7 linked regions of the Cricetulus griseus genome follow. The protein of the gene in region 5 binds, or shares a complex with, the protein of the main gene of each other region. Links are inferred from orthologs where the notes say so. Each region holds a gene or a part of one and is shown on either strand. Other genes may lie near its edges. The genes, in order: Anp32e, Brd8, Morf4l2, Asdurf, Ruvbl2, Pfdn6 and Epc1.

The links.
Region 1: Ruvbl2 (region 5) and Anp32e share a complex: the UniProt entries of both Homo sapiens proteins name them as parts of the SWR1-like complex. The link is inferred for Cricetulus griseus from reciprocal best matches to the Homo sapiens genes RUVBL2 and ANP32E.
Region 2: Ruvbl2 (region 5) and Brd8 share a complex: the UniProt entries of both Homo sapiens proteins name them as parts of the nuA4-related complex. The link is inferred for Cricetulus griseus from reciprocal best matches to the Homo sapiens genes RUVBL2 and BRD8.
Region 3: Ruvbl2 (region 5) and Morf4l2 share a complex: the UniProt entries of both Homo sapiens proteins name them as parts of the nuA4 histone acetyltransferase complex. The link is inferred for Cricetulus griseus from reciprocal best matches to the Homo sapiens genes RUVBL2 and MORF4L2.
Region 4: Ruvbl2 (region 5) and Asdurf share a complex: the UniProt entries of both Homo sapiens proteins name them as parts of the PAQosome complex. The link is inferred for Cricetulus griseus from reciprocal best matches to the Homo sapiens genes RUVBL2 and ASDURF.
Region 6: Ruvbl2 (region 5) and Pfdn6 share a complex: the UniProt entries of both Homo sapiens proteins name them as parts of the PAQosome complex. The link is inferred for Cricetulus griseus from reciprocal best matches to the Homo sapiens genes RUVBL2 and PFDN6.
Region 7: Ruvbl2 (region 5) and Epc1 share a complex: the UniProt entries of both Homo sapiens proteins name them as parts of the nuA4-related complex. The link is inferred for Cricetulus griseus from reciprocal best matches to the Homo sapiens genes RUVBL2 and EPC1.

Annotation. Positions count from the first base shown.
Region 1 is NW_023276806.1:60,578,861-60,582,360, reverse strand, and holds part of Anp32e (acidic leucine-rich nuclear phosphoprotein 32 family member E), read left to right. Parts: intron 1-320; coding exon 321-490; intron 491-3,500. UniProt on the Homo sapiens protein: Histone chaperone that specifically mediates the genome-wide removal of histone H2A.Z/H2AZ1 from the nucleosome: removes H2A.Z/H2AZ1 from its normal sites of deposition, especially from enhancer and insulator regions.
Region 2 is NC_048595.1:202,872,978-202,876,477, forward strand, and holds part of Brd8 (bromodomain-containing protein 8), read left to right. Parts: intron 1-272; coding exon 273-487; intron 488-847; coding exon 848-940; intron 941-1,105; coding exon 1,106-1,174; intron 1,175-1,675; coding exon 1,676-1,853; intron 1,854-1,880; coding exon of another isoform or gene 1,881-1,932; exon of another isoform or gene 1,933-2,336; intron 2,337-2,993; coding exon 2,994-3,098; intron 3,099-3,500. UniProt on the Homo sapiens protein: May act as a coactivator during transcriptional activation by hormone-activated nuclear receptors (NR). Isoform 2 stimulates transcriptional activation by AR/DHTR, ESR1/NR3A1, RXRA/NR2B1 and THRB/ERBA2.
Region 3 is NC_048604.1:43,664,635-43,668,134, forward strand, and holds part of Morf4l2 (mortality factor 4-like protein 2), read left to right. Parts: intron 1-1,982; 5' UTR 1,983-2,083; intron 2,084-3,057; 5' UTR 3,058-3,081; coding exon 3,082-3,500. UniProt on the Homo sapiens protein: Component of the NuA4 histone acetyltransferase complex which is involved in transcriptional activation of select genes principally by acetylation of nucleosomal histone H4 and H2A.
Region 4 is NC_048595.1:402,525,059-402,529,311, reverse strand, and holds the start of Asdurf (ASNSD1 upstream open reading frame protein), read right to left. Parts: upstream 2,801-4,253; 5' UTR 2,693-2,800; coding exon 2,603-2,692; intron 981-2,602; coding exon 927-980; intron 1-926.
Region 5 is NC_048599.1:154,327,824-154,331,323, forward strand, and holds part of Ruvbl2 (ruvB-like 2), read right to left. Parts: intron 3,431-3,500; coding exon 3,324-3,430; intron 3,114-3,323; coding exon 3,020-3,113; intron 2,930-3,019; coding exon 2,806-2,929; intron 2,456-2,805; coding exon 2,361-2,455; intron 2,277-2,360; coding exon 2,158-2,276; intron 532-2,157; coding exon 412-531; intron 189-411; coding exon 59-188; intron 1-58. UniProt on the Homo sapiens protein: Possesses single-stranded DNA-stimulated ATPase and ATP-dependent DNA helicase (5' to 3') activity; hexamerization is thought to be critical for ATP hydrolysis and adjacent subunits in the ring-like structure contribute to the ATPase activity.
Region 6 is NW_023276806.1:232,074,232-232,077,720, forward strand, and holds Pfdn6 (prefoldin subunit 6), read left to right. Parts: upstream 1-1,484; 5' UTR 1,485-1,794; coding exon 1,795-1,858; intron 1,859-2,103; coding exon 2,104-2,174; intron 2,175-2,257; coding exon 2,258-2,382; intron 2,383-2,782; coding exon 2,783-2,906; 3' UTR 2,907-2,989; downstream 2,990-3,489. Other genes in the region: Wdr46 (WD repeat-containing protein 46), read right to left, coding at 69-156, 262-374, 511-591, 682-891, 1,025-1,093. UniProt on the Homo sapiens protein: Binds specifically to cytosolic chaperonin (c-CPN) and transfers target proteins to it. Binds to nascent polypeptide chain and promotes folding in an environment in which there are many competing pathways for nonnative proteins.
Region 7 is NC_048596.1:208,120,077-208,122,705, forward strand, and holds part of Epc1 (enhancer of polycomb homolog 1), read left to right. Parts: intron 1-25; coding exon 26-167; intron 168-279; coding exon 280-643; intron 644-2,629. UniProt on the Homo sapiens protein: Component of the NuA4 histone acetyltransferase (HAT) complex, a multiprotein complex involved in transcriptional activation of select genes principally by acetylation of nucleosomal histones H4 and H2A.

The sequences.
Region 1 (3,500 bases), on a different chromosome or scaffold from region 5:
TTTTTTTTTAAAGATTTTTATTTATTTATTACGTATACAGTCTTGTGCCTGCAGGCCAGCAGAGGGCACCAGATCTCATTCAAGGTGGTTGTGAGCCACCATGTGGTTGCCGGGAACTGAACTCAGGACCTCTGGAAGAGCAGTCAGTCAGTGCTCTTAACCGCTGAGCCATCTCTCCAGCCCGGTTTTTTCTTTTTGAGACGTAACTCCTGCTATTCTGGAACTCACTAGCTAGCCTTGAGATCTATCTCCTGTGCCTCTGGGTGCTGGGATTAAAGTTGTGCCCAGCTATTTGCTCATCTTTAAAATGTTTTTTAAAGATGGAGATGAAGATGAGGAGGATGAGGAAGAAGATGAAGCTGGGCCACCTGAAGGATATGACGAGGAGGAGGATGAGGAGGAGGAGGAGGATGAGGACGAAGCCGGTTCAGAAGTGGGAGAGGGAGAAGAGGAGGTGGGCCTTTCATACTTAATGAAAGAAGAAATTCAGGTGAATGGAAACTTGATATTTGTACACAAGGCTGAGTACTGTAAAGTGAGTTGTGCGTTATTTCCTAACTTGTGGGTAAGCATCTGTCCGTCTTCTCTTCCAGCTTCCTACTTACTGGACGCTCTATAGTGTATCCAGACAGCCATGAACACTTGGTGGCTTTTTTAGTTTTTAGTTCAAGGACAGTTTTATTGAAAAAACAAAACAAGAAACTCCCAGGGTAGGCAAGCTCTAAGTCCCAGCAGCTCCCTGGAGGAGAATGGAGGGGAGAAGAGAAAAAAAACCAAAGCTGGCATTGAGGTCAGACACACTTTGGACAAGCAGTCACGTGGCAGGGAAGGGGGCTTCAGAGAAGGAGTATGGAGACCCCAGTTATCAGAAAAAGTATTGGTTTTGGCCAGCATCCAAAGAGAGAAAGAAAAAGGCAAAGTTGCCTCTTTCTGACTTGGGTGGGCTTCAGATGGGCAGACTCAGCCAGATGTCAAGGTGGCTCCATTAGAACTGTCATTGCTTGTTGCTTTTTATCTCAGATAATTGATTCTGCCCCCAGTGCCATGGGATGGTGAAAACATTTTATGAATCTGAGTCTATAAAGTACCTAGTTCCTTGTTGGCACATTATAGACACTGCAGAGTCCTGGAATAATGTGTTCCCTCCAATTATCTCTTCTTGCTTTATACTTCTGCATCTCCCAGTAGCTTTCCTCCTCCTTTTTTTTTTTTCCAAGAAAGGGTTTCTGTGTGTAGCCCGCCGTCATGGAACAAGCTGTGTAGCCCAGGCTGGATCTCAATGACAGCTTAGAGCTATCCTCTACAGTGCGCCTTTATAGTATGCCGATGATAAGACCAATACTTGCCTTCTTGATAGATGCCACAAAGCATGCATCATTATCTGTAGTTTTTCTTAGGTAGTGATGGTTAGGTAGATAATATCTGATGAATGGTTCTTATTTTCCTGATACTATTTTTAAATTTGAAATGAATTACAATTTGTTATTATACAATGCTCTCCCTGCATGTATCCCTGCAGGCCAGAAGAGGGCACCAGATCTCATTACAGATGGTTGTGAGTCACCCTGTGGTTTCTGGGAATTGAACTCAGGACCTCTGAAAGAGCAGCCAGTGCTCTTAACCTCTGAGCCATCTCTCCAGCCCTAAAAATTGCACTTTGAAGTGTATGAATGTGTGGGGATGGACTTATTTTACTCTGTACCCCAGGCTGGCCTTAGACTCATACACTGCATGCTGCCATTGAATTTGTGGCGGTCCTCTGACTTCTGCCTGCTGAGTGCTGGGATCACACAGACATTCACCACTCCTGTTTTAAAAGTTACTTTCAACCAACTGTGGGATAACTTACATTTAGGTATATTATTCTACTGAATGTTTGGGAATATTAACTCAAAATGACATGGCCAAGCATTAATCAGAAATCTCTGAAATATATATAGCATTAAGTTTGTGTGGGGCCAGGAAGCATTTTCATTCTAGATAGGATAGTTTGGGTGTTCAAAAATGAAGTCTTAGCTTAGCTAGGTATGGGGTAGGTCATCACCATAACCCCAGCAGAGGGTGAGGCAAGGAGTTTAATGATAGCATAGGCTACCTAGTATGCTCTAGGATAGCCTAGGCTACAGAGGAACCTTGTCTCAGAACAAACAAACCAATAAACCCAAAAGTTCTTGTTTTTAGGAGCTAAGTGCCAGGTAAGCATCAGACTTCTGGTAATCAAAAATAAATAAGAAGGAAATGGCATATTTGATTATGCATTTTATTTTCCTTAAAAGTTATTTATTTTTATTATGTATGTGTGGGTATTTTGCCTACATGCCTGTCTGTGTACCGCCTGTGTGAATGGTGACTACGAGGCCCAAAGAGGGCATAGTATCCCTTGGAGCTGGAATTACAGCTATTTGTGAACCAAGTGCTGGAAGCAGTACCTAGGTCCTCTTCACTATTAATCGGTGAGCTATCTCTACAGGTGGTTATTTTTCCCTTTTCAAGATGGGGTCTTATTGTGTAGCTCAGGCTGTCTTTGAACTCATGGTCCTCCTGCCTAAGCTTCATAAGTGCTGGGATTACAGGCTTGTGCCATCACACCTGGTTTCTTGCTTATTTATTTATTTATTTATTTTCCAGACAGGGTTTCTCTGTAGCTATGGAACCAGTCCTGGAACTCACTTTGTAGACCAGGCGGGCCTCAAACTCACAGAGATCCTCCTGCCTCTGCCTCCCGAATGCTGGGATTAAAGGCGTGCGGCACCACCGCACTGATAAAGATTTATTTATGATGTGTACAGTGTTCTGTCTGCATGTATGCCTGCAGGCCAGAAGAGGGCACCAGGTCTCATTACTGGTGGTTGTGAGCCACCATATGGTTGCTGGTTATTGAACAGCTAGTGCTCTTAACCTTTGAGCCATTTCTCCTCCAGCCCATCTTATTTTTAAGAGAAAGAGAGAGAGAGGGAGGGAGAGAGAGAGAGAGAGAGAGAGAGAGAGAGAGAGAGAGAGAGAGAGAGAGAGAGAGTGCACATGTTGTATGCATGCATGCATGCATGTTTCTGTTTTTGTGAGTGTTCATGTTTGTGAGTATGGGTCGTGACATGCATGGGGAGATCAGAGGACAGCTTTAGATATCAGCAGGAATCAGGACTACAGGTGTACATTGCTGAACCCAGCTTTATGTGGGTTCTGGGGAATCCAATCTCTGTATGATCACATTCTGAGTCATCTGCATGAAATAAGACACAAAGTTGAGTAGTAGTGGTGCACCACTGGAGAGATGGCTCAGCCATTAAAGGCTAGGCTCATAACCAAAAATTTTTCTTACTTGTGTATATCTTTCTTTCCTTCTTACTCTGCGGTGGTGGCTGGCCCTGACGTTTTCTTATTCTCTTGCTGCTGCTTTTTTTCTCTTTCAGTTTATACTCCCTGCCTGCCAGTCCTGCCTATCCTCCTTTCTGCATCTCTGTTGGCTGTTCAGCTCTTTATTAGACCGTCAGGTGTTTTAG
Region 2 (3,500 bases), on a different chromosome or scaffold from region 5:
CTTAGCTTAGTCTTAAGTAAGTAGCTTTTTTTTTTTTTTTTTTTTTCCTTCCTTTAAAAAAGATCCTGGGCTTTATTCTTTGTCCAGGTTCTAAATTACTTTATCTTACTTAGTCAGTTAAGTAGAGGGTAGTATAAGTGATAGAGGGCTCAGCACCTCCCCAAAAAAGTGTGAGGCCATTTCTAGAGCTAACCTAAAAACAGATCTCATTTAATAATGCTTTACTAGGTAGCTTTGCTTGCATTTGTTGACTAATGCATACTGTGTCTAAGGATGCTCCAGGTGAGGAGGAGGAAGAAGATGGAGTCAGTGAAGTAGCTAGCCTAGAGGAGCCTAAGGAAGAGGATCAAGGAGAAGGCTATTTGTCTGAAATGGATAATGAACCCCCTGTGAGCGAAAGTGATGATGGCTTTAGTATACATAATGCCACTCTACAGTCACACACACTGGCAGACTCTATCCCAAGCAGCCCTGCCTCTTCACAGTTGTGAGTATTGTGATTCTTTTTCTTAATTTTTAGACATGATCTCATGGGCTGGTGTTCAATTCATACTGCATAGCTGAGGGTGATCTTGAACTCCTAATTCCCTTGCTTTTGTCTCCCAAGTGCTGGGATTACAGACAGATTATAGGAGTGAACAACTGTAGGGGTGTTGGGGGTGGGGGCTGGTGTTTTGGGGCATTGAACTTTTGAATGCTAGGTAAGCATTTTACCATAGAGCCATACCCTAGCCTTAATTTTACTTGTTATTTTCCCTTTCTCGGCTTGAAATAATTAGTTGAAGAGAAATAGGACTTTTTTTTTTTTTTCTTTTAATGCTTAGTAGCGATCCTGTGTCTATTTCAGCTCTGTGTGTAGTGAAGATCAAGAAGCAATTCAGGCTCAGAAAATATGGAAGAAAGCCATTATGCTTGTATGGAGGGCTGCAGCAAATCATAGGTAAGCAGGCATTACCAACTCCTCATTATTGGCTTAGGAAATTATTTGAGTAAGCTATGAGACTGCTTATGTTGGTGTTGGTTCTAAGTACCTTCTGCTGCATAGAATAAATTTTCTCCTTTTGCTTCTGGAGAATAAATCAATGATAAACCTATTTTTGGACAGATATGCTAATGTGTTCCTGCAACCTGTTACAGATGACATAGCACCTGGCTACCATAGCATTGTGCAGAGGTAAGTCATAGTCTAACTAACACACCTGACTTATAATTTGTGTAGACTTAAGTGAATATTTGCTTTAGGTAGTAAATTTAAAGCAAGGATGTTTTGTTTTGAGACAGGGTCTCACTATATATAGCCCTGGTTGGCCTGGAACTCTATAGACCAAGCTAGCCTCAAAGTCACAGAGAATGAGTAATCCCTGCCACTGCCTACCCCATGCTGAGATTGTAAATGCTAGGGTTAGTGTTAAACTGACCATTGCAGTGGCTAGTTAGCATTAATAGTCTAAAAGAATTAACACCTTTCATTACTTTTCTTGATGCCTGTTATTCAGAGTGGCTTATGGGGGGATTTGAGTACATGCTTTGGGATAGTGGGTTGGCATTTAGATCTTGGTAGCAAATACTGAAGGTATATGTGAACAGGACTATATAGTGATACTGTATTCAGAAATTCAAGTGACTCCTCCTCCCCCCACAGCCAATTAGCTCTGTTTATATATATTTTTTTTAGACCTATGGATTTGTCAACAATTAAGAAAAACATTGAAAATGGACTGATCCGAAGCACAGCCGAGTTTCAGCGTGACATTATGCTGATGTTTCAGAATGCTGTTATGTATAATAGCTCAGACCATGATGTGTATCACATGGCAGTAGAGATGCAGAGAGATGTCCTGGAACAGATCCAGGTACATTGAGGCTCATTTTGTTTTCAGTAGGGACGAAGAATTCACTTTTGGTTGTAATAGGCATCAGGAACACAGATAAGTAATTTTTTTTTTCTTTTTTGCTTATGAAGTTGTATAGGTTTTATCAGTTTGATAGAAGAATTATGATAGAAATTAAAATGAATTGAGTTTTTGTTTTTTGCTGCTGCTGTTTAGCTCTTGTTGGTAGGGATCTAAACTGTTGTTCCACTTGAGCTGCCCAAATACCTTACCACTAAGCTACATCATGTCCCCACTGTACCCAATCTATTCAATTTGGGAATCAAGCCCAGGGAGAGATTCATGTATGTTAGACAGGCACTGTTCCATCTAAGCTATATCCCTAGCCCCTTCTGAAGTAGTGTTTTTGTTTTTTGTTTGTTTGAATCTTTTGTTTTTCAAGACAGGGTTTCTCTGGCTGGCCTGGAGCTCAATTTGTAGACCTCATGTTGGCCTCAAACTCACAGAGATCCACCTGCCTCTGCCTCCTGAGTGCTGGGACTAAAGTTGTACGCCACCATGCTCAGCTGCCCTTCTGAAGTTTTAAAATTCAGTTTTTATTTTGGTTTGGTTTTTGGTTTTTCGAGACAGGGTTTCTCTATGGCTTTGGAGGCTGTCCTGGAACTAGCTCTTGTAGACCAGGCTGGTCTCAAATTCACAGAGATCTGCCTGCCTCTCTCTCCTGAGTGCTGGAATTAAAGGCGTGTGCCACCACTGCCCAGCCTGAAAATCAGTTTTTAAGGGGTTAATGTTCTTTTTTAATTACGTAAAATATCCTGGCACATGTACTCAACCAAAAGAGTGTGTAATCCGTGTAATCCCCGTTTATCACAAAAGTCTGCTTTATTCTTATAGTTGTCTCACCACACACCCTTTATGATGCTGACTTTGTTAAGTCTGCCAAGTAACTTTAATTGCTAAAAGGTCTTTGGTTTATTTTATTTAAAAGGTACTTTTTGCTTCTAAATTCTTAAGGAATAGCTAGAATTAAGCCTTTAAAGTAAACCAAGAAGTATTGAATAGGAGAGTTGTATATAAGTTATAGTCATAAAACCTGCAGTATAATGGTTCTTTCCTACTGGATTAGATCTTTGTGGCCAAACTTTTTTCTTCTCCTTATAGCAATTCTTGGCCACACAGTTGATTATGCAAACATCTGAGTCTGGAATCAGTGCTAAAAGTCTTCGGGGGAGAGATTCTACCCGAAAACAAGATGCTTCAGAGAAGGTAAGGAGACAAAAATGAAGTCTAAAGCATCCAGAGAGCCTTCAGTTACTCTAATATTGCTAACCTTCTGCAAGCCAGTGGCATGCAAATAGATGTTAGAATGGGGGTAGCTTACTTCTGTCTAACTGTTGAAGAAATCTGCTGTGACTGAGAGGTCCAGTTAATGGGAGAGAGTTTGAGCTGAGTGAGTGAATTATTAATCCTCTAGGAGAGTGTTGTCTGGTGGGGGATAAAGCAGCTCACAGCATTTGATGACTAGCTCCTATGGGGTCCTATGGCAGGTGGCTGTGGGATCTTTCTCCTCTTTTTCTCAAGTTGGACATTTTTGTCTTTGTGCTGTGTGTGTGGTTCTTTTGTCTCTATCCTGAGTTTTGGGGTACCTGTGACCGAGTTTCTGTGGAA
Region 3 (3,500 bases), on a different chromosome or scaffold from region 5:
ATAAAAGTAAAGATTTGCTGGTGCTTACCGGAGGGTGTAGTGTGACTGATCACTTTTACTCACTGTTAGGGTTGTAAATTATTGCAGGTTTTGAAGGTAAAACAATATAGCACCATGTTAAAAAGCCTTAAATATGTTATGCCTTGATTCACTCCAGCTTGGAGTGTTGGAAAAATGAAAAAAAAATCTTTCATAGCCCAAAAGATGTATATTATAACCTTCATATGGGTACACGATTTTTTAAAGGATTTTTTTTAAAGATGAGATCCAAGATTTGATGCATTGTGCTTACCTATACTTCAATACACAAGTAGAGGCAAATATAAAAATATGTTATAAATGCTTTGGATTGTTCTAGAGCTAGCATGTAGGCATCTAGTGGTCAAGCTCTAGTGGGGCTTTACTTATATATAAACGAGGGAGAGGAAGTTGAATAAAGGTAGGTATGCTAACTAAACATTTAGTAGTGGGATTTGGGGAGCAGGGAAGAGACGCACAAAATGGAGTAAAAATTTAAGCACTGTGTGCCAATATATAATGGCATTATTTTAAAGTTCCTGGGGTGATATTAAACTTCTGGGAAAGGAGTACAGAGCATAGTAAATAGTAAGGCTGTCCTTAAGCATGTAGGCACATCAAGGAGCTTTAATCCCAGCACCTGGGAGGTAGAGTCAGTCCTGGCTTTTATTTACTCTGGTCATACACACTTTGCCCAATGTGTGGACTTTCCTATAGAAATGTCAAGGCATTGCATTTAGCATAGGAATGTGTATGAATGGTAGAATTCTTACAAAATGAGTAAGACTATAATTAATAACAAGGATGTTTCATAAATTCAGCTGTCATTCTCAGGTTTATTGGTAAGGAAGTGCTGATGATCAGTGTGGCATCCAAAATGGTTCCTGGGTGATTTCATTGTTTTAGGATTTTTTTTTTTTTAGTTTTATGGGATAGTTATAGTGAGTCCCAGGGTGGGCTTTCTGGAATTCACTCATTCTCCAAGGTCCTTTTTATCCTATTCACAATTCTACATTTTAAAAAAAGAAAAAAACCCTAGCTATAGCATTTTGTGAACATGGGAGTTTAAAAGATAATGGCTTTTCTAGCTACCATCACTACAGAACCTTTACAGGGCGTATTTTTACGTCTTAAAATAGTGATTTTCATTCCTACGTGGTTAGCTTCTGTATTTGCCAGTTCTAATGTTTGGAAGGCTGGTATTGCCTTTCACTATCTGCATGGAACTTTGTCCTTTGAATTAAAGGATATTTCCATAAATTGCATAATACCCTAAGCACCAGTGGCTTTCATTTCTAAGCAATTCTTAAGTCTGAATTTTCCTTGGCAATTCCATGACACCTAACCACATGATTGGCTAGATCTGGCTTTAATTAAAGCTGGACTGTCATCCTTTTCTCAGAGGTTTCCCTGAATATGTAAGAGTCAGGTTCTACACATTTACACACCTCTTTAAAACAAACAGGGTTGCATTGCTCATAAGAATTGTGCTTAATTTTTCCTGTGCTATCTGTTCATTTTAGGCTCCCTTTCTGTGCTACTTACCTATTTGCCTAAACATTGAACAGCTTTTAGTGTCACTATATGGGCCTCTGCTTAAATAGAGTATTCTGCAGTGGGCATATGTAATTCTTATTACTGTCTCCCTGATGAATATGTAAATGTACACAGTTTCCCGTTACAAATACCACTTCAGTGAATATCTTTGTATCTCCATTCACGTGGGGAAGTGTTTCTGTGGCGTTCTAAGTTAGCTGTTCAGCCATAACGTGGCATGCTTGTAGCAGCCTGTAACAACCAGAAATAGTTTGTCATGTATCATTTGTCTGATTTCTTCCAACTCCATGTGGCAAATCAAGATCTCTTAGAATTTTCCTTCATATGTTAAGACACATTTGTAATTTTTTTCTTGCATATTTCCACAAAAGTTCATCTTCATTTCAGATACCTACTTTCCTTTTTAGGTTGTATTCCCACTTCATCTTTCCAGACCATCCTAGGAGATCTGTCAGATTCCATCTGGGAAATTACTAGGAGTCCTTGGAAGGGAAAGAAGGAAGATTGTGTAAGTCAAGGGGGTTGTTTAATGAGTTGTGCTATATAAGAGTAGCAGGAGACTTATTTTTTTTTTAAGTTTTCCAGAATTCTCTGTGTGAAATTCCTCTGTTCTCAATGAAAAGGTTCACTGTCTCATAGTATATGCTACCAGCTCTACAGCAGTTACTGAAATCTCCATCTCTGCTCTGACCTGAGTTTGAACATTCTGTGTTCAAGTGCACACCCCAGATAGAAAAAGTCCAAAGCTAAGCATCTTTCTCCTCTAAGCAGTTTACTTGTATATATACCATCTCATTTGGTGATGATACAAATAAAATCATCCATCCTCAAAACCTGAAAGTTGTCACTGACACCTGCAGTTTCATCTTCCAGCAAGCAGTCCCTGAGATGTTTTATGCAAATAACCATCATGGGACTAATTTTGCTTTCTGGTGGTGTCAAATTAATCCTTAAAAACCTGCTTTTGATTAACTACTCAGGCTTAGTTGTTCAGAACCCAGTTTGACTCTGACCTTCAATATTGTATTGCTCTGTGTGTGTTTCTCTTCACTGCCATTAATACTAGTTAAGGCCTACCTACACTTGGATACGCAAACCTTTACTGTTAATTCTTTTTACCTGCAACCCATTAAACTACTCTTGCTTATTACTTTCAAATCCTTATTCTTGTTCCAGAGTCTTAAATTTCAGATCCACTTCCTTCTATGGTTTTGTCAAAATCTCTTTCTCTAAAATTAAATCCCTGTCTTTTAAATAGCATCAAGAAACAAATTTGTGGGCATGTCTGATGAGTTGTTGGGTGAGGCAAGGCTTGTGGGTGGTAGTAAGGATTAGAGAAAGGAGAGGATAGAAGTGCACTTATAAATGGTCCAGAAATAGGACCTGAAATCAATATCCAACAGATTTTGGCATGTGTTGTGCTCTGATGGCTCTCAAAGTCACCATAGTAAACAACCAAATAAAATACTTTATATATTACAGTGGTTGGAATAAAAACAGGGTTGAATGAGTTCCAGAAAGCAGGCTTCTCAAACTCGTGGACAACAATCTGCTGAAGAAGACAACTTTAAGAAGCCAACTCGAAGCAACATGCAGAGAAGTAAGATGAGGGGAGCTGCCTCAGGAAAGAAGTCGGCTGGTTCACAGCCAAAGAATCTTGAACCAGCCCTCCCAGGAAGATGGGGCGGTCGCTCTGCTGAGAACCCCCCTTCTGGTTCTGCGCGGAAGACCAGGAAGAACAAGCAGAAGATTCCTGGCAACGGAGATGGTGGCAGTACCAGCGAAGTGCCCCAGCCCCCCCGGAAGAAACGGGCACGGGCTGACCCCACTGTGGAGAGTGAGGAAGCATTCAAGAATAGAATGGAAGTGAAAGTGAAGATTCCCGAAGAGCTAAAACCATGGCTGGTGGAGGACTGGGACTTGGT
Region 4 (4,253 bases), on a different chromosome or scaffold from region 5:
AATTTACAACATCAGGACATGATTTGCATAGTGATGCTCAACAATCCTATTATCACTTATTTTTGAGCTTCAGTAATATTCAAAACAGCAATTTATCAAATATAAACAGATACAAAGCCACTCGATACTTGCCACCTAGAAAGGGCTGTTTGCATAGTATGTGCCATTATGTCATGTTACTGTCAGTGACAAAGGCTACCACAGCCACAGGGTTATAATTTACTCTTATAAAACAACATGGAGACCTTTTCTGATCAATGAAGGTTCTTTATATTACCACACGGGCACAATACTATAGTTCTTTGCTGCTGTCAAACTTCAGACATTTGATAGAATGCCAATTCATGATTATTACAGATTGCCACTGCAGTTAAATGCCCATGTGTTTTCACGACTGTTTGTTTATTCATCAGTTACTCTAAAAGAAGCTCCAGGTCAAGTCTCATACAGCGTTTATACATTCTGCCAATCTGGTCTCCAGAAGTTTTGTATTAATTTGCCTTAGTTCTAATATTTCATAAATGACAATATCAGAAATGTTGAAAATGTCAGTCATTTTAAAATGCTTGAAAGAGAACAAAATCATTTCTTCATTTAAGATATATTTTTTTAACAGTAAAACTACACATGAGACAGCAGTTTATTTATGAACATGTCATAAAAAAGGAATTAAATAGGTTAAGTTCTTGGAGCATTAAAGTTTGCTGTGGAAAAGGAAGTAATTGTTTCTTTTTTTGTTAAAAATGTAATAGGGAAAGAATCCTGTCAACTTTGAGATTTACTGATACATGCAGAAAAACATGAAAAACAAACTAGGATACTTTAGTTTTAAATTAGTATGTTAGAATTTTGTAATTTTAGCATAAATGATCTAATTCCTGATTTTAATATACTGTATACTATTCCGGATTCCAACAGTAACTTACCCGATTCTTCTTCAGGTTAGAAAGTTCATCCACAAGAATTTTTTGTTCTTTAATCTATTAAAATAAAGAAAAACCTAAAGTAGACGTTTTCAAAGTATGTTTGGTGAGGAAATTCTGAATAATGGGACTGGGGGCTGTCACATACCACCTGTCTAAATGGACACTCTACAGGGCAACAACACCCAGCTGGACTCCGTGGAAAACAGCTGGAGAAGGAAAAGCTGACTTAGACTTGCCAGCTGCCAGTTACCACATGGCTTATACCTTAACCAAAGTGAGCCACTGTTCACCAAAATCAATACCCACCCTTTAATTAGTTTTATAAAGTTTTGTTGTACACTTTTTAAAAAAAGAAAATGAATGTGTTTCTCCCCTTCCCCAACAACAATTACTTTTCATGTATGTACTAGATGATAGCCAGACATTCAGATAAATAGTATTGGATGCCCTACCTGGGGAGATACAGCATCATTTTTCATCTTTGCATCATTCTGTTTGCATGGCAAAGACTGCATACTGCTGTTATCATTAAGCTAGGCTTGTTTGTGACCATCAAATGAATGCCTAACTAGGCAATAACTAATTTAAGTAACCACACACCATCACACACAGTAATAAGAAGCAAGGTCTTTTTTAAAACTCACACCCGCCCTAGTGAGTATGCATCCTTATGTCTCCACGATGGCAGAGGTGAGAGTTATAGTGATGAACTACAAAGCCACACGAGTTCATCTTCCTTGAGACTCAAGTCTGCTTGTATGGTGTTTTATGTTCATTTTAGGAAAGACAGGTAGACATCTCACTTTAGCTGACACCAAAGAAAACTGTGATACAGTGGGAATAAGGTCACTAACCCAAGATGTCACTTGGGACAGAAAAAAAAAAATGTAGAATTTAAAACGTTTAATACTCTCCACTATACATGTTTAAAGACTGTCTGTAATTGGAAGTTAAGATTAATGGTATAGTTCAGCAAGGTGGTGCAACCCTGAAATCATGGCTGTCAGGCAAGAGAATAAGGTCATGCTCCCCTCTCAAACAACAGTGTTTGCGCCTGGCCTGAGAGACACGAAAGCTCAGGAAGGAAGAAAGGAAGGAAGAAAGGGAGGGAGGGAGAGAGGGAGGAAGGAAGGAAGGAAGGAAGGAAGGAAGGAAGGAAGGAAGGAAGGAAGAAAGGAAGGAAGGAAGGAAGAGAAAAGGGGAGGGAGGCAGACAAAGATTAACTTGCAAGAGTCCTACTTAGAGACCATCAGATAAATGTATTTTAGGATCACAGTGGAGGACACAGGCAGCTGGGGACACCCTGAGTCAGAACAGCCAGTGACAGCGTCTGGAAGGACACTGGCAGATTTCTAAACTTTCGGGATGGATGTCAAGGATGGCCCCCAGGCGGGTGCGTAGCTAACAGGGTGAAGCAGATCCACAGAGCAACAGATCCGCGTGAAGGGAAGGGGGACGGTAAGGGGACAGCCCCACCAAACCTCCGCCAGTGTCTCTCCCCCCCCCCCTTTTTGGGGGACAAGCTTCTGTGCCTCCCTCTCTGCAAGTCTGCAGGAAGGAGGGGCAGCCTGAGGCGGGTGCCAAGAACCGACTACGGAAGCGAGGAGCACGCCGCCGGGCTGCCGGGCGCCGCCGGGAACCCCAGCCGGAAGGCGCTCCCCGGCCACCCACCGCACCTTGCTGTTAAGGGCCTCCGTGCGTGCATCCGACTTGTAGGGGGGCACCGGCGCGGCGCGATAGTCTGCTCGTACCCCACTTCGGGGCATCTCCACGCCGGGTCGCACGCCGGTGAGCCCACGGGGATGCACGCCGGTGAGCCGCCGGGACGGAACCGAGGACAGGAAGCCCTGATCCGGCGTGCGAGCTCTCAGTGGACCCGCCCCTTCCGGCATCCCGACCAATGGAGTACGCACACTCACCCCTGCGCAGTAGAGGGCGGTTGGGGGAGTATGGGTGGGAGACTAGACATAGTTATGGGCATGCGCAAACTGGTTTGAACTAAAGGCACAATTGCCTGGTTGCGGAGTTTATGAAGGCTCTGTGTCGTCCCCTAGCGGATCCGATGTATAATAATAATAATAATAATAATAATAATAATAATAATAATAATAATTATTATTATTATTATTATTATTAAAAGGTTCAGGTGAGCTGAGTGGAGACATGAGTATCTGGATCAGTCCAGGTGAAAGCAAAGATATTTTGAGACCAGGTGTGGAGGGGTATAGAGAAAAAGGCATCCTTAAGGTCTAAAACTGAGAAGTGAGATGTCGGGGGGATAGTAGAGAGGAGTGTGTAAGGGTTAGGAACCACAGGATGGAGGGGCACTACCATAGAGTTACGGAGGTCCTGAACCAGACAAAAAGTCCCATTAGGTTTTTTTACTGCCAGTATAGGGGTGTTAAAGGGGGAGGAGGTAGGACGAAGTAGCTTTTTCCTTAGGAGGTCAGAGATAATAGGTTTAAGTCCCTTAAGGCTCTGGAGTGGGAGTGGGTACTGAACTTGAGCAACGTACCTAGAGGGGTCCTGTAACTGAATGACAAGGGGGGATGGTGTCTAGCCACAGAAGGGTTCTGGTAGACCTTGGGGTCTACCTGAGAGGCTGGTAAAGGAAATGACGTACTGGAACCTGTAGGGTGAGTAGCTAGGAGGAGGAGGAGGGGAGCCGCTGGCGAGTCTGGAGTTGGGCGAATGTGGGGAGCAAAAGAAATAGAAGCTCCTACCTTAGCTAGAAGGTCCCTCCCTAGTAAAGGCACAGGACAAGTCGGTATAACCAAAAATGAATGAGTAAGGGGAATCCCCCTAAAAATACAGCTAAGCGGTGGAGTCTGCTGAGGTAAGTAAGGCTGTCCTCCTACCCTGACAATAGGAAGACGAGACAGAGAGGTGGGTCCCCAAAACTCCTTTAGGACTGAGTATGTGGCACCAGTGTCCAAAAGGAAAGAGATAAACCGCCCTGATACTTTAATGTCCACCCGGGGCTCCCTTTCAGAGATGATGGTGGTCGGGTCAAGAGAGCCTGGGCCCTGTCATTCATAGTCCTCATCCATAGCCAGGGCTAAGAGATCAACTGGAAGGCCGTCTGTGTTTGATGTCCTCTTGTCACCTGGGACACGGGGACAGACCACTGACCAATGGCCTACTTCCTGGCATCTAGGACATGGCTTGCTTGGTGCATGGGGGTTCGGGCAACCCCGGGCCCAGTGTCCTTTCTGACCACACTTGAAGCATGGACGCTGCGGTACTCTGGCCCCAGAGGGCAAGGGATCCCGGGCAGATGCTGAGTCCAGTCAGACGGCTTCAGCTAGCATCTGGTATCTGTGCTTA
Region 5 (3,500 bases):
GTCTGTAGGCTACCCCAGGGTCATCCCTTCAGTCCTCCAGGCTAACTTGCTAGCTTACCTTTCGTTTCCGGCACACCAGACTGGCTGCTGTGATGAGCTGGATGGCATAGCGCAGGGAGGTCTCTAGCCCAATGCGGGTCAGCACTGTGTAGGCGTCCTCACTCATCTCCACATCTTCCTCCTCACAGCTGTGGGCAGGCAGGCCTCAGCCAGACAGAATGGCACATCACCCCACCCATCCCCCCAAAGACACGTGACACATGCCTCAGAACCACATATGAGGGGCTCCCAACCCTACCCCCAGAACTCCCCCACTGGTAGGATGCCATACTGGTCTTCTCAGATGCAGAGGCCTAGGTGAATCCCTCCCATCCAATGTGTGTTCCTATAAAGGGGCCAGGGGTGCCCCACCGGATGCGTAGAATCTGCTTGGTGTCCTTCTCACTGTAGGGTGATGTTGACACAATGAGCAAGCGGTCTAGAAGGTCAATGGGGATGCCATGGGGACTTTGGTAGCTGGTGCCTCGGATCCTGGGGGTCAGGGAAGATTGTTAATGGATGCTCCTGGAAACCATGACAGCCATCAGTCCACTTGGGAGCTGAATAACTAACTATATGAGCACAGTCTCTTATCACCTGTAAGCACAGTCCTCCCCAGTAGTGCCAGTGGCTCTCCTGTACCCTGCTGCACAGGCAATTCTTGGTGGGCAATGGGACCCATAACAATTTGTTCCAGTCATAGGCAGTTTAGCCACAAATAATGATGCTGTTCTCCAGGAAGGTGGCTCAGGACAGCTGCCAGACTCCAAACTAGAGTCCAAGAACTAGTGCACTTCCGGGACTGGGGATTGCAGGTGAACGTCATGTGACAAAGGGATTAGAAGCAGCCACCTCCCTCAGAGACCTGAGGACTGGCTCCTCTGTAGGCACTGGTCTAAAGATGCCTCTCCTCTCACCCTGCCACCTTAAACCTATGGCCTTAGCAAGTCGATGAGTTTTGCTGGCCTAAGTGGGAGCGATGGAATGGGGTGAAGAGCAGAGCAGGTGAGGTTGCCAGGCCACAGCCTGTTGTCTACCCTCTACCTTTCTCATAACCACATATAACTCCAGTTCCAGAGGGTACGGCACACTCTTGTGGCATCTGTGCAGACCACATGCATGTGTGCATATATATAAACACACACAAAAGTGAGATGCTTAAGAACACATACTGTTCTTACAAAGGACCCCAGGTGGGCTCCCAGTACCCACAATGGGTAGCTGCTCATAACTGTTTGTCAATTTACCTGCAGGGAACCTGACATACTGTTCTGGACTCTGCACACACCTGAACTCACACTTACACATTACCCCCCGCCTACATACACATCACTCTTTAAAAAAACGGGGGATGGATGCCATGGAAAAACATGAGACAGGCTAATATGCTTGATGAAGCTCATGACCCACCACCAGCGGGAGTCTGGCACCCTGGGTCCTGTCCCTCCTGGGTCTCCAAACTCCAGCCCTCTTAACCTGGGAACCATTGCTTCAGACCTGTTTTTTGTTTGTTTGTTTGTTTGTTTTTGGGCGGGGGACAGGGTTTCTCTGTGGCTTTGGAGGCTGTCCTGGAACTCTGTAGACCAGGCTGGTCTCCAACTCACAGAGATCCACCTGCCTCTGCCTCCCCAGTGCTGGGACTAAAGGCGTCTGCCACCACCGCGTGGCTTGTTTGTGTTTTTTTTTTTTTTTTTTTTTTTTTTTTTAAAAAAAAAAAGGGTCTCATGTAGCCCAGACTAGCATAGAACTCAAAATCCCCGTTTCAGCCTACATAGTATTAGGACTACTGGTGGAGTGGGTGCCACCATGCCCAGAACTCCACAGCATCTTTAGATCAAAACTACTAGTCTGAGTGACTTGCCTGATCCCAGCAGTTTGTGACATGTCTAACAGATGCCCCTGTGCTCAGCACAGGGTGATTTCCTGGGGTATCTTTGGGTGTCTTGGTCAACAGTTCTGAACGACAAGTGGCCCAGGATTGTGGGGGCAACATACAGGGCAAACTTCAGAAGGAGGTGCTAGGTTAACCAACCATGGCACTCAGTCCACTTATGCTCAGGCTGCCATCAATCCCCTGATCCAGAGGGCCCCTTCACCCAGAAATCTACGGCTGCTCACCGGGTGATGCCTCGGTTGGTGGCCATGATGAGGACTGGGGCCATGTCACTCTCCAGGGCCCGGTTGAGGAAGGAGAAACTCTCAATATCTAGCATGTGGACCTCATCGATGAACAGCACCTAGAAGCCATTGGGGCACAGATCAAGCTCACCTCCACCCCTTTCCCCAGGTCATACCCGCCCACCTTGTGTCTAGCCACTCACCCCAGGGATGATCTCCGCCTTGCCCTCCTCCCTCCACTCAGCCACTTTGGCATTGATCTGTTCTCGGACTTCTGACTTGATCTCCCCTGTGTCTCCTGCCAGACACAGGGCACATCAGTGGAGATGGAGACTGGGTCCAGGATCCGGGGTGGGCAAGGACAGAGAAAGACAAATGCCACAGAGGAGGGCTCTACTGCTACAGCAGCAGGGCTAGGACCTGGAGCACTTTAGAAAGGACGGAAGGCCAGGCCCTGACAAAGGGTGTGAGGGCAATGCAGGGAAGGACAAACTCCAGTGGGAACAGAAGGCAAACAGCAGGTCTGGGAAGAAAGACTGAAGGGGCAGGAAAGCCGGGGGTTTGTTGTGCCAAGGGAGGAGAAAGAAGGGACACACCAGAAGGGGGGTACATCAGTTGCTGGGGACTGGTTGGGGAGGGACAGCTGACCTGAGAAGAGGGCCAGGAAGCCCTGAGTGCGGGAGTTGATGACGTCAATCTCATGGAGGGACACAGTGTGCACCACCTCCTTGCGTTTCTGCAGCTCCCCGTCTGGGCACTGCACAAACTTGGTCTATAGGGTTGAGGGCAGGTGTGAGGGCAGCAAGGGCACAGGCACCTCATGACGTCACAAAAGATATACAAACATCCCAGTGCCAGGTACCTGGGAGCCCATGGCATCATAGTCGCGAGCGCGTGTGAAGGAGCGGCCCAGCTTGGAAATCTTGCCAGTGGCCTTATCAATAGTGATCACGTCCCTGCAGGGGCAACAGCAAAGACTGAAAGGGCTGGGCAGAGGTGGCGCATACCCTTAGTTCCAGCATTCAGGAGGAGGCAGGAGGATCTCTGTGAGTTCAGGGCCAGCTTGGTCTACAAGCAAGTTGTAGGACAGCCAGGCAGAGAGACCCTGTCATGGAAAAAAAAACATTCTCACTACCCCAGCCACCTTCATGGTCCCAGTGGCTCACCCGGCCTGGACCTTGTCCTTGGTCAGAGACTCGATCATCTTGGTGCCCAGGTCATAGATGGTCTCCATCTCCGTAGTCTTGAGGGTCAGTTTGCCCACCTTAGATCCCTGAGGGGACACATCAGGAAACCCTTAGATGACCTCACCCCTTTGTGACCACAGCTTCAAAATTGGTGTG
Region 6 (3,489 bases), on a different chromosome or scaffold from region 5:
CCCCCCCCCGCGGCTCACCTTGGCAGCACTTGCAATGTCCACAGCCTCCCTCCCCCCCCGCGGCTCACCTTGGCAGCACTTGCAATGTCCACAGCCCCCACGATGTCCGTCTGCAGTATCTTTGCTGTGTCTTCCCCATCTTCTCCCTCCAGGAACCTGAAAGGCAGTCAGGACGACTGAAGTGACGCTCCGCTGCATGCAGCCGGCTACAAACATAAAACCCGCAAAAATCAAAGCCCCAGAAAGGCAGGGGCCGCTCACCCAGGTTCCTCGGTTAGCAGCAGCTCTGCGCGGGCAGCTCTGACGCTCGCCTCTTCCTCCTGCGCTTCAGCCGTCTCAAGTTTGCTCCGGGTTTTCGGCTTCGAATGCGGGAGCTACGGCATGGTTGCCAAGGTTGGCGCACCGAGCGAGCATCCGTGAGGTGCCAGCAAGGCCGCCAGCAGACAAGGCGCCACCCACCTCCTCACCCAGCCTCCAGTCCCTGCCTCCCCACGGTCCCCGCGGCCTCACGGTTCTGGACTTGTCAATTCGGCAGAACTTCCGGGCGCCCTCCACGGGGGCGGGGGCGGGTCCCGGGAACGGGTCCTGGGCCTAGCGAGGGGAAGGAGACGGGCAGACTCGATGGGCCCGGTTCCTCTGGTCCTCAGAGGCGCGGGGCCACCCTGTCAGCCCCAGGCTCACCCCAGACAGGGTCCGCTGCGGCCTCCTCTTCGGGTCTGGGGCGTCCTTCGGGGCCCGCGGCTTCTGGCGGAGCCGAGACTTCTTGGCGGGGTGCGCGCTCTTTGACCTCGGGGGTCGCGGCTCCCGAGTCCTCGCCTTCTTCCGGGGCGGCCCCGGAGAGGCGCCGGCTGCGGCGGGGGTGGCCTCCTCCTCCCAGTACCGCCGCGGCTTCTAGGGGCACAGGAGGAGGCAAGGGCTCGCACCCGCCGGACCCGGAGCCCGAGCCCGATCGGAAGCCCCGAGCCCGAGCCCGATCGGAAGCCCCGAGCCCGAGGGCGGCGTTCGCCTCCACCCAAGCCGCTACCTTCCTCTTGGCCTGGGGCTTGTCCTCCTTGGGTGGGCCACCCCTGCCCGGCTTCGGAGCTGTCTCCATCGCGGCTGTGACCGACGCCAAACAACGATCCACGTGCGAAACTGCCCTCGGCAGCCCCACGGCCCTCTCAGAAACTTCCGGGCGTCCCACGGCCTTCACCCAATCACCGCCGGACGGGAGTCTGAAGCCGCCGGCGCCATCTTGAGTGAGGGCACGCCTGTGCCAGACTGAGCGGAGAGGCTCGCCCGAGGACCAAATGAGGACTAAAAGGCAAGTCTGGGCCCCGAATCCCGGTAGCGACGAGTTCCTTTTTTTCTGCCTTGCCTAATAAAACCCCTCGGGTGCAGTCTTTTCGGTAGGACGAGTTTCCCACAGGTCAGAACGCAGCTTCCGGCGCCGTCTCTGTCCCGGCATGCCTTGTCTACTTCCGGGTGCGTTTAGACAGTGGGCATAACGTGAGGAGGTTGGGGGTCTGGCTTGCGGGAGGGTTTGGGGTTCTGCTTTCGCCCCCCGCTTCCCAGGGGTGTCTCCTGGACGAGGAAGAGCTGCGGAGCCTCGAGGAGCTGCCGGCGGACGCGCAGGGCAGAGAGGGGGGCGCGGGTGCCTTCCTCTGCTCGCTCGAGTCCCCGCGAGCGCCCCGCCCCGCCCCGGAGGCTCGCCCTCCTCACACCGCCCCGGAGGCTCGCCCTCCTCACACCGCCCCGGAGGCTCGCCCTCCTCACCGCCCCGGAGGCTCGCCCTCCTCACCGCCCCGCCCCGCCATGGCCGAGCTGATCCAGAAGAAGCTGCAGGGAGAAGTGGAGAAATACCAGCAGCTGCAGAAGGGTAAGAGAGAGAGCGGAGGCGGCGTGGCCTTGCCCCGTCCGCCCTCAGCTCAGGCACACCCCACGAGACGTCGTGCTCCCTCGGGGGCCCTGCGGGCCGCCCCTGGCGTCGGGGGCCCTGCTCGTCCCCACCACCGACCGACCCAGCCTCTCCGCTGCAGACCCGGTGACGTCTCGAGCCCGTGCTGGGTGCGGTTCTCGGCCCGTCTGATGCCTTTAACCATGCGTTTCCTCTCACCACCTCAGACTTGAGCAAATCCATGTCAGGGAGGCAGAAGCTCGAGGCACAGCTAACAGAAAATAACATCGTGAAGGAGGTGAGGACCTGGGGCGCCGGGGCCGAGAGGAACGCGGCCGGGCACGGTTAGCTCATCAGCCGTCCGTCCCATCCCCTCTCCAGGAACTGGCCTTGCTGGATGGATCCAACGTGGTCTTCAAGCTCCTGGGGCCCGTGCTTGTCAAACAGGAGCTAGGGGAGGCTCGGGCCACGGTGGGGAAGAGGCTGGACTACATCACCGCCGAAATGTGAGTGCCTACCCCGTGCTGGGTAGCTCCCCATAGCGCCCCGCTCCCCTGGAACTCCCTGTGTAGACCAGGCTGGCCTCAGGGATGGGCTTAAAGGCGCCCCCGCTTAAGCCTTTCTTCCACGTTACACGAGTGTGGGGGGTGGGGGGACATGTGTCCGTGGCACACATGTGAAGTCAGAGGACGGCCTGCGGCAGCCTGCTCCTTCCTACCACGTGGGTTCTGGAGACTGAAGTGTCAGCCTCGGAGGAGAACGGTCCAACCCACTGATCCATCTCACCAGCCCTCAGTGTGCCACCCCCATCCCCCAAACCTCGGAATTCCCATCAGTCCCCCAATGCCGCGCAACAGTGAGCCCCCACTGATCTCTCTTCTGCTTGTCTCCCCTTTCCCTCCTCAGTAAGCGCTACGAATCGCAGCTGCGGGACCTTGAGAGGCAGTCAGAGCAACAGAGGGAAACCCTTGCTCAGCTGCAGCAGGAGTTCCAGCGAGCCCAGGCAGCAAAGGCTCCTGGGAAGGCCTGACCCCATGGAAGGGGGAGAGGAGGGAGGGCTGAGTCAGCTCCAGGGTCTACACTAGAATAGCCAATAAAATGTAAACAAAACCAGTGCCTTGTACACACTCTTTTTCCCTGAGATAGAGCTCTTGACACTGGAATCTCTGGCCGTGTTTCAGTGGTGGTTTTCCTGGTGCTGAGAACTAAAATCCGGGTCTTCTTGCCTATGTGCCTTCTTTTGAGTCTGAAATGTCTCAAGCTGTTTCTTGCCTGTTCATATAACCCTTTATCTTCCCTTATGTTGGCTGGTGCAACCCTGAGATGGGAAATATAACCTTAGGATGCAATGTAGTGTGTTGTTAAGTGTCAGTTTAGCCATAGAACCCAGTTCTCTAGCCTGAGAGCCCAGGATATGATGTGGTCACCCAAGAGCACTTGTCCCCAAAGGGCCCTAGATCATTAGCTTGTCTTCACCGCTGTCTTAGCATTGGTTTGAATCTAACTTGTTTGTTTTGGTTTGTTTGAGACAGGGTTTCTCTGTGTAGCTCTGGCTATCGTAGATCTCGCTCGCTCTGTAGACTAGGCTGGCCTCAAATTCAGAGATCCTCCTG
Region 7 (2,629 bases), on a different chromosome or scaffold from region 5:
CTTTTCTTTTGTTTTCTCCTTCCAGGGTTTTGTTTCTAAGACTTTGGATTCTGCTAGTGCGCAGTTTGCTGCTTCTGCTTTGATGACGTCAGAACAGCTGATGGGATTCAAGATGAAGGATGATGTGGTGCTTGGGATTGGGGTGAATGGCGTCCTTCCAGCCTCAGGTGAGGATAGAGACATCTCCGTGGCCCTGTGGTTTTGCTGTGCATACATATTTGTGCACATTGTGGCACAGACACAGAATGCAGTGTTTACATGCTCCCTTTCTCTCCCCAGGAGTATACAAGGGCTTACACCTCAGTAGCACTACACCAACAGCGCTTGTGCATACGAGTCCGTCGACAGCAGGTTCAACTTTGTTACAGCCTTCAAATATCACACAGACTTCGGGTTCCCACAGTGCACTGAGTCATCAAGTAACTGCTGCCAATTCTGCAACAACTCAGGTTCTGTTTGGGAACAACATTCGATTAACTGTACCTTCATCAGTCCCCACTGTAAACTCTATCGCCCCAATAAATGCACGACATATACCTAGGACTTTAAGTGCTGTTCCGTCATCTGCCTTAAAGCTGGCTGCCGCGGCAAACTGTCAAGTTTCCAAGGTCCCCTCATCATCCTCTGTAGATTCAGTTCCAAGGTGAGTAGTTATTCTAAGTTTAAAATGTTAGGAAAGAGCCCATTCCTTAGAGTGGGATGCCATGCACAGTGGCAGTAGGACCACAATATAATCCCCAGTACATGAGTTAGCTTGTTGGAGCCCACTCCCCCAACCTATTGTGCTGGTCTATGTTCACTCCTCATGGGAACCCTTACCCGAGAGGAGGAGTGGACTGGGGGTGGGTTAGGGAGGCCGTCGAGGGCAGGGAGGTGGGAGGGAGAACTGTGATTGGAATGCAAAATGAAATTAAAAAAATTTTTTTTTTAGATGGAAAAAAAAAAATGTTTGAAAAGTAAGACATCTAACTTCAGCCTTCTGGAGTGGCTGTCCCCGAGTTTTCTCTGCTTTTCCTTCCATGTATTCAAAATGTGTAGATATAAGAAACCCTCGTTTATTTAAAAACTGAGCATGTGGATGCTGTAATTCTGTCAGTTGAATTCAGTTTTAGTTGAGAATGAGCCAGTCCACTGAGATAGTGATAGTTATGTGACTTGGGCCTCATACATATGTTTTGTCAGCATGTATGTCTGTGTCAGGGAGTCAGATCTTGGAGTTACAGAAAGTTGCTAGCTGCCATGTGGGTGCTTGGAATTGAACCCTATCTGATCCTCTGGAAGAGAGCAGTCAGTGCTCTTAACTCCCAGGGTCTCCCTCTCTTAATGCAGCAATAACTTACTTAGAATGTTCTCACTCTTCCCCAGCCTTTGGGTGGAAGGTGTTCTCTTTAGGATGTTTGTGTTGCTGGTTTTGTCTGTAGTTTACTGTGTGAGCAGAATTGGTAAACCTTCCTGCAAGTTACTCTTAATAGTGGAAATGGCATCCTTGCCTGGTGACATTTAACTGAGGCATTGTTTCCCTGGTCACTCGCCTTCTTGAATTTCAGTAGACAGTTTAGCATTTTGTTAAGGCTGTATCACACTTTCAATATCAACTATAATTAAAACCCCACTGCTGCAAGGTACTAGGAGAAAAAGAAACAAAGACCTGCATTTTTCAGATTAGCAAGAAATAGCCTAAAATATGAAAGCTAATGTTAAGAGACGGTGCCGGTGAAAACTATTCTGGATGTATCTTAAAGCACTGTTATGTTGTCCAGTTCATTATATAGACAATGACTATCATTTGAAAACAAAGAGAAATCTTTTTACACCACAGTAATTCTGAGTATGTTCTAGAAAATATCTAATTCCACCTGGAGTAATAATTGATTGGATGAAGAAAAGGGGCATTTCTAGAAGTTGGAGTTGGCAAACGGAAATATAACGCTGGGGAAATGCAAGTGTTTAGTGGTTAACAAGTACTCGGTTTTCCTAGGGACTTAGGAAGCTTAATAGAAAAGGAATGACAGGAGGAGGGCAGACCACACAAGCAACTTGTGTTGGACCAACATTAAGATTTCTTTAGCCAAGAGTTGGGGAGTTGCAGGGAAAGCAATTTTATAGCAGCTTATTGGTAGCCTTTACTTTACACACCCACAGGTCCCTCTCTGCTCAGTACCAGTATGTATTGTTGGTCTAGTCATGGCTAATGGGTGGACTGTGGTTCCCCTTCTTCCTCCATCACCAACTGTCATGACTTTCATTGCTGTAGAATTGTACAAATATGGGAACATTTGTGGTATATGGGACTTCTCAGATCCCTGTCTCTGTTTAAAAGCAGGAAACAAATTCCTAGAGGTCAGTGGACTTTCCAAGGATCCCTGCAGACAACCCTAGTGTTCTGATTACTAGTCCTGTATCTGACTTCCTTTGTGAGGCTCATTAGGACCCAGATTTAAAGCCCTGACATCAATCAGTTGGCTCCGTGGGTAAAGGTGCTTGCCCTCAAGTCTGACAACCTGAGTTTGATTCCCTGCATCCACCTGGTAGAGGGAGAGAACCAAACCGGGCAAGATATTCCTCTGACCTCCACACTGGCGCACATAGGCACATACACAATTATATAAAGGGTTAGAGAGGGTTTGCA